2 linked regions of the Struthio camelus genome follow. The protein of the gene in region 2 purifies or fractionates together with the protein of the main gene of each other region. This does not show direct contact. Links are inferred from orthologs where the notes say so. Each region holds a gene or a part of one and is shown on either strand. Other genes may lie near its edges.

The links.
Region 1: the proteins of NFX1 (region 2) and LARP1 purify together in Homo sapiens (affinity purification with mass spectrometry, with the first as the bait; 3 studies listed by BioGRID). This does not show direct contact. The link is inferred for Struthio camelus from reciprocal best matches to the Homo sapiens genes NFX1 and LARP1.

The regions. Positions count from the first base shown.
Region 1 is NC_090954.1:12,071,320-12,075,221, reverse strand, and holds the start of LARP1 (la-related protein 1), read left to right. Parts: upstream 1-1,260; 5' UTR 1,261-1,275; coding exon 1,276-1,633; intron 1,634-2,921; exon of another isoform or gene 2,922-3,016; intron 3,017-3,902. UniProt on the Homo sapiens protein: RNA-binding protein that regulates the translation of specific target mRNA species downstream of the mTORC1 complex, in function of growth signals and nutrient availability.
Region 2 is NC_090943.1:78,971,879-78,975,780, forward strand, and holds the start of NFX1 (transcriptional repressor NF-X1), read right to left. Parts: upstream 2,584-3,902; 5' UTR 2,514-2,583; coding exon 2,489-2,513; intron 1-2,488. UniProt on the Homo sapiens protein: Binds to the X-box motif of MHC class II genes and represses their expression. May play an important role in regulating the duration of an inflammatory response by limiting the period in which MHC class II molecules are induced by interferon-gamma.

The sequences.
Region 1 (3,902 bases), on a different chromosome or scaffold from region 2:
TCTCTGATGCATCCTAGACTCACCCTTGTCTTTTTCATGTTTTCTGACCATGCGATGGACTCATCCTATGACCCATCTCCCACCAGCTAACTTTGCTAGCCAGCTACTTTAATTCCTCCACATTTGCCCTCCTGAACCGAGGGCCATCGTTTCAAACTTCCTCTCGCCAACCTTCCACTGAAGTTGAAACAATCCGCAGTCATCCGATCCAACGTTATTTTTTGTGACTCCGCAGGTGAAGAGAAGGTTGGACAAAACCAAACCTGAGAGATCACGCCCTTTTCTTGGTTCAGGATGAAGCAACTTGTCAGCTATCGCATTCAGAAGTATCCGAGCCTTACCGCAAGCGGCAGCGTTCGCTCTCCGGTCTACAGCTGGGCAGCTGCAACTGCCTAACAACAAAATTCCCAGTTGTGTTTCTAGTAACATTAGAGAGATCATTATTCATTGCCAAATCTGCTGCTGGTAGCCTAGAATAAACTCATAACACAACTGTGGCGCAACCATTGGGGGGAATTATTTCAATCTGAGCCGACCCAAACTGCTGTACCTATTTCTTCGCTGTCTACCACATCGTGACCATTTAATGCTGGCGTACAACCTTTATTCCTGCGACGCCTCCGACGGGAACCGACGGCGTTTGCTTTCACCCCATTTATTAGTCATACAACAAGAGGCCTTACATGCCCCGGTAGTTCACATTCCCCTATTTTCTTGCAGAGGCTCTGGGCGTCTGCCCCCCCCGGCACGGGCAGGGCCGAGCCGCGGCGGGTGCCCTCGGCGCCCCCCCGGGAGCCGCCGCCGGCGGGCAGCAAGCAGGGCCCGGCCGTCTGCGCCGGGCAGCCGGGACGGAGCCCGGGGGGGGGAAGGGGAAGGGGGGCAGGAAGCGGCAGTGCGCGGAGTGGGCCGGGCCGGGCCACCTCCGCGCCACCGCGGCGCGGCCCCTTTAAGCGCCCCCCGCGCCGCCGGGCGTTGCATCAGGCACGTGCGCGCGGCCGGCCGGTCGGGCGGCGGGCGGGGGCGCGCCCCGCCCCTCCCCGCCCCTCCGCTCCCTTCCCTTTCCCTCCGCTCGCCGGTGGCGCGCGCGCGCGTGCGCGCGGGCCGGGGCGGGCCGGGCCGGGGCGGCGCGCGCCCCCGCGGCAGTCGCGTGGTCCCCGCGCGTCTCCATATTGCTGCGGCTGCCTCGGCGGCACGGGGGGGGGGAGGGCGGGCGGCGGCGCGGCTCGGGGGGCGCCGTGAGCGAGGGGAGTTCCCCGGCGGGGCGGGGGCGCGCAGATGGCGACGCAGGTGGAGGCGCTGCTGCCCGGCGCCCCGCTGCTGCCCGCCGAGGAGCGCGCCCTGGTGCTGAAGCCGCCGCAGGACGGCGGCCGGGAGAAGGGCGAGCCGCCCATGGGCCCCGACGGCGGCCCCGCGGCGCCGCGGCCGCCCAGCGCCAAGCAGCAGAAGGAGGAGAGCAACAACCAGGAGAAGGAGAGCCTGCTGCGGGCGGGCGGCGGCGCCGAGGCGGAGGAGGGCGGCGAGCCGGGCGGCGCGGGGCGCCGGGAGTTCATCGAGGCCCCGCCGCCCAAGGTGAACCCGTGGACGAAGAACGCCCCCGCGGCCGTGCTGACGGTGAACGGGCAGTCGCCTCCAGGTGGGTGCCGCGGCCGCCGGGGGGGGGGGGAGAGGAGGAGGAAGGGGGGGGGAGCTGCGCCGCCGACCCCACCCCGCCCCGGCCGCCCGCCCGCGCCATGCGGCACGGCGTGGGGACGGCGCGGCCCGCGGCGCCGGGGCGGGGGGCGCCCCGCGTGTCAGCCCGGTGGCCGGCGTGTGTGCGTGCGGGGTGGGGGGAGCGCCGCTCCCGGGAAGTAGGAAGCGTTGGAGCCTGCCGTAGCCATGAGGCGCGCGGAGCGTGGGCGAGGGGGAGGGGAGCGCGGCGCGGCCCGGGCAGTGGCCATGCGGCTCCGAGGCCGGGGGCAGGGGCGGCGGGGCCGGGGGGGGGCGGGAGGGAGCTGAGGGCTCGGCGGCGCCGCGGCGAACGTTACGGGGCCGCGGCGCCAGCGGCCCGGCCGCGTTCCGAACGTTCCGAGCGCCGGCGCGTGTGCGCGCGCGCGTGAGCGCGTGTGTGTCTGTGTCTGTGCGCGCGCGCGCCGCGGCGGCGGCGGCGGCCTCCCCTTCCCAGCATTCCGCCGCAGCGCAGGCAACGTGGTTGCTTCCCCGGCTCGCTGCGAGCATGTGATTTCCCCCGAGTGCGCGGCGGGGCCTCCCTGCTGCGCTCCCCGCCCCGGGAGGCGGCGGCGGGGCCCGGCCCGGCTCGGCTCGGCCCGGCCCGCGGCGCCCATGTGCTCGGCGCCCTGCCCACGTGTGCGCCCCCCCCCTCCCCCCCGCGGCCGCGCCTAGGCCGCGGCGGCGCCTTTCTCTGCCGATTCATGGCCGCGGGTGGGCCGGGGGTGGCCGCGGCTCTGCCCTTCCGCGCCGGCTGGCGTGAGCGCTGCAGGGCGGCTTAAAAGCTGCTCTGTAGCAGTGCCCGCTGCGGCGCTGTCATGGTATCGGGGCCTTCCTCGCGGCGCTGGGCCGCTTCGGGCAGCGTTCAGCGGGAGCGAGTCAAAGCGGTACGGGACAAACGGTGCGTTTGTAGTCCGCCGCTGTTTTAAGCGGAGGCTGAATTTGCAGAACACCATTTCCTTGTTAGTTGAGTAGATGTCATTTTTACCGAGAGGGATTGCCTAGCACCGACTCACTCCACATGGGTGCGAGAGGAAAACACGGAAGTTTTCGGTGAACATCTTGTTTGGGAAAGACTCTTAATTTTTCCAGTCAGCCTCTGTAAACACGAAATAACACTGCCAGATATGACGTCAGATTTCTCGTTACTGTATGTGCTAGCGTTTTGCAAGAACTGAGACTAACATGATGATTCATTGGAGGTACTGGTTTTTGGAAGATGGACAGCTCTGTGATTTCCACCTGGAAAGCTGTCATCTTACATGGGGAAAATAGAGGATACGTTAATTGTGCCAAGTGAAAGTCTGTTCAGGTAGGTTTTTGGTCTGTCATCGTATGCAATGATGTAAGCATAACTTAACAAAACCTAGAGCAGTTTGCTGTTTACGTTTGCCTCTTGGTGCGTGACATAAAGCCGGTGACGTTACTCCTTTACGCAAAAGTGAGGCTGCATCACGCTGCTTTCTGGAGTAACGTTCCCTAGAAATAAACCAAAAGGTTCAAAAATGCTGTATAATACAGGATGCTGAGGAGTTGAGGGCTGGTGTCTTTCCGGTTCTGTTTATTCCATACGTCATCATGGCGTGTCTCATCTACATCTACAACATCTACTGAGTTACAGTATCTTTTTTGTTTCTCACTGTTAAAATTACATATTTCTATTTAACATTAGGTAAATACAGATGTGCTCTCTGTGTCCCTTTCTACCTTTCTGTCTTGTATGTTCCTATTTGAGGCTTTAACGCTCATGTTTAAAGCTCATAGAGGACAGCATTCTGTTACCAGGCCCCTTGCAAAGCTGGGAGAACGCGGCGATAGAGGCTGAATGAACGGTAGGAGCTCTGTCAAACGCTGAGTTGAAGAGGAGGGGGTCTTTGCGACTTAGGAGGCGATTTTTAAGGGGAGCATGTGTGCCTTACGGTGAGGTAAGGAAATAATCTCGCAACACCTAGAATTCTGTTGGGCTTGACAGAAGTGTCCCAGTATTCCCGAAGGTGTTTAAATAATGGAATTGATTAGTGGTGCGTTTGTGATGCTTGGCAGCAATGTCTGGTTCATACACTGCTGCCCTAGACGCTGCTGCTTGGCTCTCTTGCGCTGGGGGCTTTGTTTCTTTTGCTGCCTGTTTCGTTAGCAGAGAAGAAAACGTGTAAAATAACCATGACTCTCCCACGAGAGGCAGACTCACAGCTGACCTT
Region 2 (3,902 bases):
TGGTTTTCTATGATTTTCACGTTCAACACAGATTTACAAAAGGTTGGATTTCTTCCTCGACATGAGTCTCACTCTTCCACACAAAGACAGGTTGCACTGCTGATTCTTTAGGCCTGAAACAATCTGCCTGCCTGTTTATTCCAACTGTAACAGCTCATGTAATAAAAGAAACGCTCCCTTTCTGCAACTCTTGTCAGAAGTTATTAAAGAAGGAATAACAAACAGAACCATCATCATGTTACTGTCCAAATCCAGCACACCTATAATGTGAATAAAGCATGAAGTTTTGGCAAGCCCATTTCAAGAGGACATCAGAGAAATATGAGGTATGGATAAGAAATACAGATTCACCAGAAGTAGCTTCATCAGCTGGACATGAAGTACCTACTACAGAATGGATTTTGCATAAGGAAACTAAATGTAACACGCATCTTCCTTTTCCTGCTCATCCTTGCAGTAGGGCGGTCAGTGCTTTACAGCAGCTCCCCGATACCTTCATGCATCATGCCCAATGCTGCATTGCATGCGAAACACAGAACCCAGTTACTAACAGCACTGTGGAGGAAAAAAACCATAACCACATTCAGAAGCAACAACAACTGACAGAAGAAAGGTCAACTCGCAGCTGTTAAATGCAAATATAGCCTCTCACTTGGGGTGTCCCCTCTAAATGTACCAGGCTGGAAAGGTATACCTAGGTGAATAATAATTCTGTAATTGCCGTATTTCTCTTATTCTTCTCTTGGGTATCAATAGCTATTACACTATTAGCAAAATATCCTGGACAAGCTGTACATCTGCAATGGTCCAAAACAGCCATTCTTAGATCTCAACCGCTTCCCCTTACCTATTCTGTGACCAGAAATATCTTTCATGCTGAGGCTCTCAAAATCATAAACCCGCTCTGTCCATGAATTTGAAGGGCAAAAGCTAGTCCCAACCCTAACATAGCACAAGCACAGATTCAAACTTACCTAAGAGACAGGCCTGCATAACATTTTATTTTATATACTACCATAACAAGGAGTAAATTCCATAATTTAATGCCATGTGGTGATACTTGTGCTAGCTTGTGCGTTATAAAGCAAGATGTAGCAAGGGTGTACTAACCAGACTAATTTTTCAGTAAAGCTCTGTTTACCTATTTAAGGCTCTTTCTACCAGTGCCTGTGCACTGCATAAAAGGCTTCAGGATCGGAGCTGACTCACAGCCTGACAGCATGGAAGATAAACAGACAAAGCAGACAGCTGCCTGCACCAGCTCCTCTTTACTGAAACTATCAGTCTTTTCTCTGATCGACGTCCCAGGCTATTCCACTTCCCCCAAGAAAGCTACGGTCCCATTCTTGTCCTACCAAAAATGACCTCCAATGACTTTCACTTTTTCATAGCCTGGCTGCTAAGATCAAAGAAGAGACAGGGGAGTCTATACAGGACACAGCTTAATGATATCCTTAAGCTGAATTAACTTCACAATGCTGCCCAAAGCAGAGCTGCATCTCGCCTTCTCCTCCCCCCACCGCAAAAGTCCAGAACTCTTTCTGCAAGAAACCTAATAGCCATACCAACAACGAAATGAATCAGCCCAGCGAGTGAATGCAAAGTGACACTGATTATCTGAGAAGTCCACCTGGACTGCAAGAAAAACCAGGAGATATGATGAAAACACTAAACATCATGAGTCACTTCAGGCAACCATGTCACTTCCAGTTACACACCCAAGACATAACCGCACAAGGGTTCTTCGTGCCCGTAACGCACGAGAAGTCATGAGATGTGAGGCTGGAACCTCCCGCTCTGCAGCTGCACCCAGTAAAACGAAGGTCACCCCCACCCTAAGGAACCAGCAAGCAAAACCAAAAAAACCTCCTTTGCCCCGCCTGCGGTGCTCAGTGGCACCCCGGGCTGGACACCTCGGCCCCTCCTCACCCTCCAGCCCTCGACCGCATCCGCTCTGGGCAGGCGGCACCCGCTCTGCCGGTGCCCTGCGCGCCACGGAGGGCACCGCCGAGCCGCCGGGCAGCAGCCACCGCGACTGTCGCTCCCGGGCGCCAGCGCCGCAGGCAGCGCAGTTACACAGGAGCCCGCGGCCGTGGGGCGGGTCACCCCACCGCCGGGCGAGCTGCGCCGCCGGGGCGGGGGGGGACGGGACGGAGAGGGAGGCGGCAGTGAGTTCTCCAGACCGGCGGAGCCTCGGTATTTTCCGGCGTTCCCGCCTGCGCGTTACACGCTACAAACGCGCACGTTTCTCTCAGCCCGAGTTTCCCGGGCGCACGCCGCGCCTCAGCCGCTTGGCGCCCCAGCGGCCCCGCAGAGCCGCGGCCGGCCGGGGCCGGGGCGCCGCTAACAGGTGGTGCCGCGCGCAGCCCCGGCGCCCCCCACCACCCCGCGGCTCGGCCCCTCGCCCCACCGCATCGCAGCGGGGCGCAGGGGAGCGGCCCCACCGGCCGCTTCGCCGGCTGCCCCCGAGCAGCGCGGGCGCGCTCACCTGCGCTGGGCCGCGCCTCCGCCATGCCGACGCGTCCCGCCTGCCCCCACCCCTCGGCCCGCTTCCTCCTCCGCCGCCGCCGCCGCCGCCGCCGCGCATGCGCACGCCGGCCGCGCCAGCTCCCGCCCCGGCTGGGAGCCGCTCTGCGCGCGCAGCCGGCGGGAAGGGCGGAGGGGGCGGGCGGGGGCGCGAGGCGCGGCCCGTTGGGGCGGGGCCTCTGGGGCGGGGCCGCTGGGGCGGGGCCGCGGGCGCTGAGCGCGGCGGGCAGCGAGAACCTGGTCGGAAAGGGCGAGGGAAGGAGGGAGGGAAAGCGAGAGCCACGAACATGTACCAGCGTTGGCGGTAAATTGGCCATTTGCTTGGCAGTAAACTTGCCCGCTGCGGCCTTCTCCTGAAATGGGCTCGCTGTCCTAGCTGCCCGGCCAAGCCCTCTGTGGGGGTGGAGGTACCACTCATCTGTGGGTCTTGTTGCACTTTCTCTGGGCATGCGGGAGAAAGTAGGAGCCTAGTACCTGGGTATCTCTAGCATCCTGTATGCTGTGCTTTGGGAGGTGGTGAGCTACACACTTTTCATCCCAGGACTGCGCTGCAACTGAAACTTCTTTTGGAAAGCCTACACGAGGGTTTCCGTACTACAGCCAGCTCTGCCATGAAATCTTGCCGTGCTGCAGCTACAAATACCGTGAAGAACCGCACGCCTTGTCACGCTGCAGCTCCCAGCACCGGTGCTGAACTGTTGTGTGATTCACACCTCTCTGCAGAGGTTTGCACTGCCATGGTTACGGTACCTCTACAGAGCAGCACGCTGCAGTGTGGCTCCAGAGCCCTTACCGAGCTGCTCCTCTGTTGAGATGCTGCAGCATGAGTTCCCAGTACCATGGCAACTGCACCTCCGACGAAGGACACCTCTGAGGAGGAGCACCGCTGCACCGACTCTGTGTTCTGCCAGGTGCACCCACAGAATGACGTTCTCGGGCCAAAGTCCCGTTTGCTGCATAGTTCCCCTTCTAGCAGATAAAGTTCAGGGCTCCAAAAAAGGGCAGAGCAGAGCAGAGCAGGTCCATCAACAGTTAAGCCAGGCAAGCCTGTAGTGACATGGTAGCTCAAGCCAGAAAGTCATGTTAGTGGGAGAGGATCAGGGACGGTACAGACAGGCATACCTGCAGCATAGCTCAGGCAGACACCAAGGGCTAGAGCCTGAGTTTTAAAGCAGCTTGGGAGAGAAAGAGGGGCAAGCACTCACTGAAGCTTTTCAAGACCAGAAAGTTGCATACAAAAATTGGCTGTAAGCCCTGGCAGACAAACACGATGGTGGTGAGAGGAGGAGGGGGTAGGGGAGAGATGCACTCAGGGTCTTGACAGCCACAGATCTCTCCTCTGTGCAGCAGGATGCTGGGAAACAGCCTTGCCTTCA